3 linked regions of the Coturnix japonica genome follow. The protein of the gene in region 1 purifies or fractionates together with the protein of each later gene. This does not show direct contact. Links are inferred from orthologs where the notes say so. Each region holds a gene or a part of one and is shown in the gene's direction. Other genes may lie near its edges.

Region 1 (3,647 bases):
TAGTTTGAGAACTGTGTTGTGAGCTGTGGTCTCTGTGTCCTGTGATAAAATTAGCCATCTGGGTGTTTACAGCAACTGCTGATTGGTGGCCTATAGAAATGGCTCCCCAGGCAATGTTCCTGTGGAATTGGGTAGCACAGCTGTGATCACTTCATACATGAACACGAGTTATTTTAAAATCTCAAACATTTTGTCAGTTCTACAAAATGGTTTCAGCAAAGTAAAGCACTTTAACCAGAAATGTTGAGCAATAACCAGATGTAGGCAATTTGGCAGGTTTCAAATTGAGCCTATTATTTGCTTTTAGAGCTTTGTTTTTGTTTTCAAAGATGCGCAGAAGGGTTGAAAAGTTCATTACTTGATGTGAGAACTGCTTCCTGTTTGGAGCAATGAAATCCCATAATTTTCCTGCTGCAGAAGGTCAGCACCTAAGAAATATAGATCCCTCAGGGCTCAGCCAGGTTCCCCATGTCACTTCAAGAAGGATCGTCTTCCAGCAAAAAAGCTGAGCTGATACGTTCTTCTGACACATCTTCATTTCATCACTAACAACTGTTTTGTGTTTACAGGAATGTCAGATGGAGGTAATTTTAAAAGGTGTTGCCATATAACTCTTCTAATGGTTCTGAAGTGCAGTCACCGACCTCCTGCCCTGCTGTGTGGTGGTGCACTGCTCAGCATGTTGCTCACTCAGTGTGTGCAGCCAACTTCTGAGCAGAGCTTTGCAGCTTCTCCCTGCTGCTCTCGCTTTGAGAAGTTTTTTTTTCCTTTTTCAATGGTCTGAGCAGGTGGCTGATGGGAAGCTGTGAGGAGCAGCGCTCCCCTCTATTATCCGGTGCCATAGGGGGTGCTGTCGTTCTCTGGGAGTATTTTTAACATTGCCATCTGCTGCTTTTCCTGTGCTTGTGCACAAGCCAATTTCCTTGCCAGGTCTTATAGGTTTCTGAAGGTGACTTCACCTGCTTGGCAGGAGGGAAAATACCTTGTGGAGTCCACTGCTCCCTTCAGCAAAAGGCAACTGAACAGAAATCCTGCTGTGGAGGACAGGGATGGGAGCAGCTGAGGTGCTGCTTTCATCTAAATTGGATTCATAGATTTCCATGCATAGATTCAGGTGTTTTTCCTTTTGACACCTCCATTTTCACTGAGGGGAGTGTTTTACAATTCACAGCTGGGGAAAAAGGAAATAGCAGGATTTCATTCAAATTCAACATACTTACTGCTTAGAGAACCTCTGTTTAAAAACATTTGTCTTTGCTTCGTCCTTAGGGAACGATTAGTGTTGGAATAGATGCCACTGACCTCTTTGATCGTTATGATGAAGAATATGAAGATGTGCAAGGGAGCAGCTTTCCCCAGATTGAAATAAATAAAATGCACATATCCCAGTCCATTGAGGTAAGGAGGGCCAGCACCACAGCTGGCTCGGTCAGGGTCTGAGATCATGAAGCACTACAGTGCAGGCCAGCAGAACGTGGAACGCTGCTCAGAGGTCTCATCTTTCTTTACTGGAGGATGGTCATCTACAGTTTTGGCTGTGTCTTTGTAGAATAGTCATAGCATGTGAATCAAGATTGTATTAGTTACAGTATATTCATTTTTCTCAGGCACCGCTGACTTCCACAGACACAGCAATACTGTCTGGTAACCTCTCTACCCAGAATGGGAATGGAGGTGGATCAATTAATCTTGCTCTTAGACGAGTGACATCTGCCAAGGGATGGGGAGAGGTAAGAATGCTGGATGTTATGTATTATACCCAATTTGTTACAGGCTTCTTGGTTTGGTTATCTAGACTTCATTTTCTCTTGGGAACGTCAGCTTTTTTTTTTCCACCTCTGTGTGCTTCCATTTCAGAATGTAGGGTAGCAGTGCTGACAAACTTTCTTGAGTGCCCTATGAAAAGAGCTCCTGGAGATTTAGGTGGTAGCAGTATTTGTAGAGTGATACTAAACCAAACACCTTGTGTTTAGTAGTAGAATAAAACTTGGTACCTTCTGTTTTCTAAGTCCAAAGTTTTTCTTCATTTCTTTCCCTTCCCATTTTTAGGCCGTGCATCATGAGCTTGGCTTGTGCTGATGGAGTGTTACCTGTTGTTTCCTGGGACTTGCTGATTTCTCTGTGTGAGGCCTTTCCAAAGGCTGTTTTCAGAGCATGTGTTAGTTGCCTGTAGGGCTATGAAAATGGCTTTCCTCTACTCATGGCAACCTTACTCATAGAAATACCTGCTATTCTGAGTGTAAGATTAGTAGAAAAGAGAGGATACTAAAGTGGTGAAGTTAACTCAGAAGTGTTTCAAATATCTGACATAAACAGCGCTTGTGAAGTTCTTTGTCTCCTGACACAGCCTGTGTTCTAACTGCTTGTCACTGTGCATTTTACCAGTTGGAGTTTGGAGCAGGAGACCTTCAGGGGCCTCTCTTTGGTCTGAAGATATTCCGTAATCTTACACAAAGATGGTAAGTAGTTTAAAAAAAAAACAACTTAATGTTTGGTTCCTCAGTGTGGAATATTAACCATCTTAAATTCATTTTCATGTTAGTTCTAGATTTGTTTTCTGTTCTGCAAAAGGTATCTGTTTTAGGCTTTATGTAATGTTTTAGTGCTAATCAAAATGCATATGTTCTGTTTGTTAGTGTCTTCTATTTTAATACTACCAGATTAAGGGGAGTCTGTTCTGCATCCTGATGAGGCTTTGCTTATTTCTTCTAGTTTCATCACTACAAACTGTGCTCTGCAGTTTTCATCCCGTGGGATCCGCCCAGGTCTCACCACAGTTCTTGCCCGCAACCTCGATAAGAACACGATGGGGTACTTACAGTGGCGGTGGGGCATCCAGTCAGCCATGAATACGAGCGTTGTCCGGGACACAAAAACCAGCCATTTCACTGTGGCGTTGCAGGTGAGAATCCTGTGGCTGTATGCAGGGGATGGTGCTGCCATTCTGAGTGGGAGGGGTCTCAGCCTTTCCATTCCAGCTGTAATTTGGCTTGAGAATAGAGGGTAAAGGAGCAGCTGGGTACTCTCTTGTGAATGTCTGCCATAGACACCCAGCTGGATTTGAAAGAGCACAACACTTTGTGCCCAACATTGTGACTTTTCACGTGTGTTAGCCCAGATCAGGGTTGGGACGTGGAGTGTAGACTGTAGAGGTTGTGGGTTGTGATGAGAAGTGGCAGGTGCTGTTTTCTGTGACACTTAAAATGTTATTTTAAGAAAGCAGATTTTGGGGAACATTCAGTGATGTCTGAGGGTTCTTCATAAATGTGTAACTCTTGTATTTCAGCTGGGAATCCCCCATTCTTTCATGATGGTCAGTTATCAGCATAAGTTCCAGGATGAGGATCAGACGCGGATAAAAGGTTCTCTCAAGTAAGCGTGCAAAAGGAAATTCATATTGCTCAGAATCTGTTGTCTTCTGCTGTTGTAGGTCTCCAGGTTCCACACAAATTGAGTGCTTTTGTACTCTGTAGGAATCTGCTTTAATTAAATCTGTTAATGACTGAAGTGAGTGTCTTGGAGGCTCAGCTTTGTGTGTCTCTCTAGATAAGTGAGATGTGAAATACACACTTGTTGCCTCTGTGTCATCACTGGTAAGAAAGGCAGAACTTCTTGTAGTCTGTAACTTTTTTTACTGACTAAAAGGG
Region 2 (3,647 bases), on another chromosome or scaffold:
CACATGGATCTGATGCTTAAATAATCTGCTTTTATAGGTAAAGAACATGAGGGTTCCCATGCTATAAAAGAACGATCGCCGGACGAGGTCGCGGCTCGTCTTGCCCAGCAGGACAAAGAGGAGCAAGAGAAGATCGCAGGTGAGCCCATACCTGGAGTTCTGCTACACATGCTGTAAGGGACAAAAGGATTGTTCCCAACCTCTTGTGAGCCACAGAAAATAACGTAAGGAGACACTTGAGATATAATGAATCACTTCAATGATGAGGCTGCAGTTAATTCCAGTATTTTCTTTCCAGCCCTTGCAGCAACACTGGAAGGAGCCCTGAGCTCTACGGCTCGTGTAACACTGCAGGCAATTACTGCACAGGAATCTGCTGTGCAAGCAGTGAATGCGCACTTGCAAATACTGAAGGAGGCAATGGACAACTCGGAGGTAAATTGGGCAGCTGGGGACTTGTGTTCATCGTGTAACTAAGGATAAAGTCTGAGGTTTAATGTTTGTCACAGTTTTACCTGATCTTCCCACTTGGGAAACGTTGTAGGGTTTAATAATAAAGTGCTTCTGCTTTTGACATGTCCCACTTTGTGTAGGACTGCTGCTTTCTGTTGCAGAGGGTATAATGGAGTGGTCAATCACAATGTCAAGGTTCAAAACCACAACAAAAACGATAGAAAGAAGAAATTCTTAAGAGCTTCCAGCTGTGTTGTTATTATCTGATGGGTAATTTTGTACCGTGGGCATTGTGATAACACTAATGATCGATCTGTGCTTGTCAGACTGCTGGGGAGAAGAAATCAGCTCAGTGGCGCACTCTGGAGGAGGCTCTGAAAGATCGAAGGAGGGCAGTGGATGAAGCTGCTGATGTCCTTCTGAAAGCCAAGTGAGTTCTTTGTATCTCCTACCCATACTTAAATACAGTGCTCCTTAGTTCAAGTAAGACTGAAGAAAACAATAACCCATAATCCTTCTAATATCATTTTGGATCATTTGATCATTATTATGCCTATTGTAAGAATTCAATTTGCTGCACTCTGGGTCTGTTGAGTCAATAACATCGTTGGCTTCTCCTAGCTGTGATGTAAAATTAAGTCTTACAGCACTGTTTGTTGGTTCCATTCTTCAGCAGAGCCACTCCTAAGGCTGGCTATTTATTAGATGTGTGCTCATGCATGTATGTGGTTATGCAGTAAGACCTGTATGTGTTATAATCAACAGCTTCATTTCTTTTCAGAGAAGAGTTGGAGAAGACAAAAGGTGTAATTGAGAATGCCAAGAAGGCTCAGATCCCAGGAGCCAAACCTCACATCATTGCTGCAGAGGAAAATCTTCATCATATGATAGTTGACTTGGACAATGTAGTGAAGAAGGTAACACTTCCAGCTGTTCTTCATCATCATTAGAACAAGGACTGATTGGCAGCTTGTGAGACCCCCTTTTTCCACGTCCTTTATAGCAGATCAAGTATTTCTTAGTTTAAATGCTATTTCTAAACACAATTTTCAGCTATAGTCAGTCTTTGAGCTGTGTGTGGTACCAGTGAGTTGTCTTGACAAGGACTTTGCATGAAAAGCCTGAACTCTGTCTTGGAACTCTGCAGCCAGTTTGTTCAGTGTCTGCTCTTTCCTTGGGCAGCTTTCATTTCCTTCTTTCTGATGCTGGACTTGCAGTTCCTTCTGTCTGATGCTGGACTTGCAGTTCCTTCTGTCTGATGCTGGAGTGGAATTAGGAAGATGAGACAAACTATTCAGGGTGCTGATTGGCGTAGTGTCCTCTCACTGAGTGTATCCAGTTGTTCTGGTGGTGGCTCTTGTGCAGGGCATGGGAGACATAGGGTTGGATTGCTGAGATTACTTTTTAACCTTGAAACTTGTTTCTTTGGATCTGGGGCACACCTATAATATTCATCAGGTTGGGGAGGAGTCTGCTGATGACTTTGTGGGTATATCACTTTATGGCTCAGAAAACAGGATGAAAAGTAAAGTTGAAATCATGCCCTTTTGCAGGATAATGGATTGCTCTGATGGAGGAATTTCAGTGGGGAATTTCTCTGAAGTGTGGGAGTACAGAACGCAGTGAGGGTTGGGCAGCTCCCTGCTGGGGCTGTGATGGCTGCATGCTGCTCTGATGGTAGAAAACATTCTGTAATGAAGGTGTAGAGCTGGATATCTCTAAAGGAACATATTGTGTTGGTTTTTTCTGAGCTACAGATTGACTACAGTATTACAGTGTGCGTGTGAAGAAGTGGATCTGTGTAGTTGGGGTAAATAATTACTGTGTATAAGAGGCTTGATGTCACAGGGCAGCTTTTCCCCAAGTGAGGATAAAGATCTCTGCCACTAACTCAGGTTTGATCTCAGATGACTTCAGTCTCCTTGGAAGATAAGCCAGTCTCCTTTTTTGTTTGTTACAGGTTCAGGCAGCACAGTCTGAGGCCAAGATCGTGGCTCAGTATCATGAACTTGTGGCTACGGCAAGAGAGGAGTTTCAGCGAGAACTCGAGAGCATCACCCCCGATGTGCAGCCGGGCTGGAAGGGGCTCAGTAAGTCTGCGGCGATGGCAGTCAATCGTAGAGCAGTTCATAGAGCAGCTGTAACAATGCCTGCTTTCAGGATTCCCTGATTCTGAGCTCCCTGATTCTTTCTAGATAACTGAAAGAGTGAATTCACTGCTCTTTAAATACTTCACTTATCCCAGTGTGTTAGTTCTAAAGGAGAGTGACACAGGAGTTGATCTGGAGTAACAGCCAGTGCTGCACAGAAGCAGTAAATGGCTGCGTGGTGTTTTCCAGCTGCTACAGTTCTTTGCCTGAGGTCTGACATCTGGCACACTCATGTTTTTGAGGTGCTTGGGTTTTTCAGCTGGAGCTCCTTCCTGCTTTCCTTAGAACAGATAAAAGTGAAGTGAGAAATGTGATTCAGAAGTACAGTTAGAATCTTTCTGCCTCAGTAGAGGGATAAATGTATTACTCAGAGTTGTTGGAAGGTTCAGATACCACCACAGTGTGATTGCAGGCAGGCAGGGAAGGAGTCAGGCTTGCAGTTAAATTCTTATGGCTAAAGCAAGTCAGCTCATCCTCTGTGATCCTCTTTCTTAATGGTACTTAATGCTCTAGAAATGTGAATGTTAGTCCACAAACTCATTTTCAAAGCTAAATGAAAACACCAGGCCTGTGTAACACATGGGGTTTTTGTTCTGTAAGAAGTTGGGAGAACTTACTAGGTTGAGAAACTGCAGTTTGCTGTGCTGTCTCTCTTATGTTCAATCTTCTGGGATATTAGTTCTGAAGAAAATGGGATTTGGCATCTGGAGATGGAGCTACCATTTCTAATGCAGGATAAGGGGAGGACATCCTGAGTATTGTGAGCACTGCACTGTTCTGAGAGAGGGAACATCCCGGCAGCTTCCAGGCGTTCAGTTTCACACCAGTGTGACCCTACTTAGTGTACAGGACTGACTCGATAGTGACTCTCACTGCTACCTGGGAATTTGTCTCTTACCCAACTGCTCGTTTGTAAGGACCTGGAAATTCTCAGTGTCCTGTTGCACTTCTTTACTTGTATTTCTCGCTTTGACTGAACCTAAAGGTTCATCTGTGGGTTTCCAAAGGCAGCTGTAGTGGTGGGGATGTTTGGGTTACATCTTG
Region 3 (4,410 bases), on another chromosome or scaffold:
AATACAAGGCCCTTTCAAATGATGAGTTCTCTTAAAAAGAAACGTGATATTTGTATTTAAGTTTCTCTACTTAAAATCCAAGCCAAAATGAAAGAGAATGCTTTAACGCTCTCGGTGCAGCAGATCAGCTACATATGGAGAGTAAACAAGACCACGAAAGGTCTAATCTCTACATTGAAAAGGTTTGTATAACATAAACGTTATACAATAGTGTATGTAGTGGCCCTGCCAGGCAGGGAGGTTGGAACTACACGATCCTTGAGGTCCCTTCCAACCCGGCTCATTCTGTGATTCTGTGATAAATAAGTACATTTATTTCAAAGAAGCACCAAGCACATAAAAAAAGGAGTTCAAGGCCAGGCTGGACGGGGCTCTGTGCAGCCTGTTCTAGTATTAAATGGGGAGGTTGGTGGCCCTGTCTGTGATGGGGGGGTTGGGGATTCATGATCCTTGAGGTCCCATCTGTGAAGTGCTCCCCGATTTCTAAGCCAGGCAGTGAGGCGTTATAAAGACAGAACCGTACAGCCACACTCTGCTGCCAGACTTACACAGCTCCCCAGCTGCTGTTGTCAGCGTCATCCCTGCTCCCCCTTTGAGAAAGGTTCTATTCACAGAAGGGTGTCCATGGCTGGAAAAGCATTCCGAACGTTCTATGCTTTTTTCTGCCATAATGCCTCTTAGTAACAACTTCAGGCTCCCACACAATGTAAATGGCGACCGGGCTGGTTCTGATCCGGCGGCAGCTAACTGCAGCTTTAAAACTCCATGTTTTGCTTCCCATAACTGACACTACAACATCAGCGGGTTTCGCTTTCGGACACTGGAACAGGCTGCCCAGGGAGGTTGTGGATGCCCCGTCCTTGGAGGTGTTCAAGGCCAGGTTGGACGGGGCCCTGGGCAACCTGATCTAGTAAATGTGTATGTTTGGTGGCCCTGCCAGGCAGGGGGGTTGGAACTACATGATCCTTGAGGTCCCTTCCAACCCGGGTCATTCTGTGACACGTTCAATCCGCAAACAGCCGCGTCACACCCGCCACCTCCTCTCGGTGCCCCCACGCACCCCCACCTCCCTCACCCCCCTCCCCCCCATGTCCCCCCGTTGTTTCTCACCGCGCTGCAGTGTCACCCCGCGCTGCGGCTCCCGCTGCCGCCGTCCCCTCACACTCCGCTCCCGCCCGGTGGGGCCGTGTGCAGCCCGGCCGGCTCCGAACCACCCCCAGCACCGTGCTCTCTCACCCGCTTCTCTCACTGAGCTGGCGACCCCACCAGCAGCCAATCAGCGGCCGCGCCGGCACCTCCCCGACCAATAGGCGGCCGGCTTGAGGGGAGGCGGGACCTCAACCGCCCTTCGGCTGGGTGTCCAGCGACCTTACCCGGCAGCCACCGCGTCTGATTGCGTCCATCGGACACGTGACCGGGCTCCGCCAATAAGAGGCGGCGCTGCAGAAGGCGCCGTTGGCTGCGTCGTTGTGCTGCTGCCGTGCGGCGGACTACAGTTCCCAGCGCACCTTGCGGCGCAGCCGTTGTCCAATCCCGCCTCGCCGACAACAAGACGAGCTATGATTGGCGGAGAGGCGAGGGCGGCGCCGCACCAATCGCGTTGCGGCGTGGAGGGATGTGTGGGGTCCGAGCGGGCCCGGTGGCGGAGCGGGAGAGGTGTGAGCTCCGTGTGTGTCCCGGTGTGTGACCCCTGATGGCGATGGGGGCCTGAGGCTGAGCTGTGGCGGTTTGAGGACGGCTCGTTCAGCGGTACGAGGCCGGGAGCAGTGCAGGCCGCTACGGGGGGCAGGGGTGGGAGCGGGAGGAGCTGGGCTGGCCGGGAGGGAGGTGCGGCGAGGGGACCCGGCCTTTGGTCAGCGGCCACGGGGCTCCCGGCTGTAATAACGGTGTTGTGGGGGGTGGAGGAGATGGGAACTTCGGTTTTAGCTTTGGTTGTGACTGAGAAGACAGAAGGGGGTGGAAGGAAAAGAGTGGGACATGGTGAGGAGGGGTAGAACTTTGTATCACAGAATCAGAATGACCCGGGTTGGAAGGGACCTCAAGGATCATGTAGTTCCAACCCCCCTGCCTGGCAGGGCCACCAAACATACACATGTACTAGATCAGGTTGCCCAGGGCCCCGTCCAACCTGGTCTTGAACACCTCCAAGGACGGGGCATCCACAACCTCCCTGGGCAGCCTGTTCCAGGGCCTAACCACTCTCCTAGTGAACAACTTCCCCCCGACATCCAACCTAAAAATTCCCTCTTTTAACTTAAAACCATTTCCCCGTGTCCTGCTATTGTCAGCCCTTTCAAAGAGTTTACTCCCCTCCTGGGTGTAAGTTCCCTTCAGGTATTGAAAGGCTGCAGTGAGGGCACCCCGGTTTCGTGTGTGTGCAGGAGATCAGAAGAATAACGATAAAGTGGATAAGGATGAATAGAGCTGGAGGAGGGATCTGGTGCTCAGGATATGACTGGAAAGTCAGAGGCTTTTGTTCGCATTAACTTCAACTCATTTCATTTGTAGGCTTTGAGTAAGTTTTGTTGATCAGCTAAAGAATGTACCGAATAACACTGAACTTCATAGAGACTTTTTAGCAATTTAGAGCCATCTATTTTGAGAATATAAAGTATTCATTATGGTCTGAAGTTCCCAGTCAATCTTGCTAGGACATAGTACAGTCAAAGGGAAGAACATGGAGGGGAATGATTGACTTCTCACATTTCCTTTACCAAAGGAAGAACCAGTGACGGAGAAATTAGCAGGTTTTTATTTAATGTGAAAATGTGAGAAACTATTGGACACTTCTACACGTGCATCTACCAGCAGCAAGAGAACAATATAATATATGAATGGTATTATTTGTTTGGGAAATAATGGTAAAAGATTGTTACCAGTTACAAATTCAGTTTTATTTCTATACAGGGGGAAAAAGAATGCAACTTAATATGTCATTATTCATGCTTTTGTGCCTTAAAATAAAGCTACTTACATGAGTTTCTAGTGGCAGCACCAAGGACCACATTCCATAGTTTTGGAAGCACACAGTCTGTCTTTTGAAGTAATCATACAATGGTTTGAGTTGGAAGAGTTCTTATAAATTACCCATACCATTATGATATATAAATACCCGTATAAATTTCAACCTCTGTGCTGTGGGCAGGGCTGCCACCCACCAGCTCAGGCTGCCCAGGGCCCCATCCAACGTGGCCTTGAACACCTACAGGGATGGGGCATCCACAATTACTCTGGGTAGCTGTGCCGGTGTCTCACCACCCTCTGAAGTAACAATTTCTTTCTGAAATCTAACCTGAATCTCCGTTCCTTTAGTTTGAATCCATTCCCCATCGTTCTGTCACTATCAAGATGCAGACCTTCTCTTTTATCTAAGCTTATGCTTCTGTGGCCTGTTAAGTAGTTACCCCTCATTAAAACAACTGTGGAATCAGACACTGACACGTCTCATTTGAAATTAATATTGGCTTGCACTTTGGCTGAAGCAAGGTGTGACCTGCTTTTTTTTTCTTTATTGAATGCAAACTAGTCAGAAGTTTCAAAAAAAAATCACAACACCTCTAAGTATTTTGTAGCTTTAAATGGATATGGTGTTACACAAGCTGTGTGGGGCAGGTCTCTTCTCACTAGTGACAAATGACAGGACAAGGGGAAATGGCCTCAAGTTGCGCCAGGGCAAGTTTAGTTTGGATATTAGGAAGAGCTTCTTTACACAAAGGGTAGTTAGGTACTGGAATAGACTCCCCAGGGAGGTGGTTGAATCGCCATCCCTGGTTGTGTTTAAGAGCCGTTTGGATGTGGTGCTCAGGGATATGATTTAGTGTAGGGTTGTTAGAGCTAGGGTACTGGTTAGGCTGCGGTTGGACTTGATGATCTTCAAGGTCTTTTCCAACCTGGGTAATTCTATGATTCTATGATTATGCTTGATGCTGGGTTAATCTTTTGCTGCTTATTTGGTTCACTTTTATGTGAAATTTGATTACTGCTAAAGGCACTGAAAATTCAGGTTTTATTTTGCATGTTTATACAGAAGGATGTTTGTAGACTTGTAGTCTGCATATTGGGTGTGAGACAACTATGGAGTTTCTGATCATCTTTATCAGTGCTATAAACTATGTACTGTTATACATATCGGTGCATGTATTTGAAGGAAACAAGAGAAAATGTGATTAACCAAACCCTATCTGCTTTCCACAGGGGAAATTTAAGTTTCCAGCTGAAAAGTTCTATGATCATTATCCTTAGAAATTTTGTTCCTTGAGGCTTCTTTTTTTTGTACTCTTATGCCTGTAACAAATCAATGCATTTATGTTCTTACCTTATCTCTGCTCTAATTGATAGCGAACATTAATACCATATACATTTTTTTGACAGGTATTTTGTACGTGTGGTGTAGGAAAAAATGAATTCCAC

What was found.
Region 2: the proteins of DNAJC11 (region 1) and IMMT purify together in Homo sapiens (co-immunoprecipitation; 3 studies listed by BioGRID and IntAct, with this or other methods). This does not show direct contact. The link is inferred for Coturnix japonica from reciprocal best matches to the Homo sapiens genes DNAJC11 and IMMT.
Region 3: the proteins of DNAJC11 (region 1) and ARMC1 purify together in Homo sapiens (affinity purification with mass spectrometry; 4 studies listed by BioGRID and IntAct, counting the BioPlex papers as one, with this or other methods). This does not show direct contact. The link is inferred for Coturnix japonica from reciprocal best matches to the Homo sapiens genes DNAJC11 and ARMC1.

What each region holds. Positions count from the first base shown.
Region 1 is NC_029536.1:426,218-429,864, forward strand, and holds part of DNAJC11 (dnaJ homolog subfamily C member 11), read left to right. Parts: intron 1-1,269; coding exon 1,270-1,398; intron 1,399-1,607; coding exon 1,608-1,730; intron 1,731-2,385; coding exon 2,386-2,459; intron 2,460-2,712; coding exon 2,713-2,902; intron 2,903-3,286; coding exon 3,287-3,372; intron 3,373-3,647.
Region 2 is NC_029519.1:77,504,829-77,508,475, reverse strand, and holds part of IMMT (MICOS complex subunit MIC60), read left to right. Parts: intron 1-37; coding exon 38-139; intron 140-298; coding exon 299-435; intron 436-779; coding exon 780-883; intron 884-1,234; coding exon 1,235-1,370; intron 1,371-2,413; coding exon 2,414-2,543; intron 2,544-3,647. UniProt on the Homo sapiens protein: Component of the MICOS complex, a large protein complex of the mitochondrial inner membrane that plays crucial roles in the maintenance of crista junctions, inner membrane architecture, and formation of contact sites to the outer membrane.
Region 3 is NC_029517.1:103,982,476-103,986,885, reverse strand, and holds the start of ARMC1 (armadillo repeat-containing protein 1), read left to right. Parts: upstream 1-1,586; 5' UTR 1,587-1,749; intron 1,750-4,371; 5' UTR 4,372-4,399; coding exon 4,400-4,410.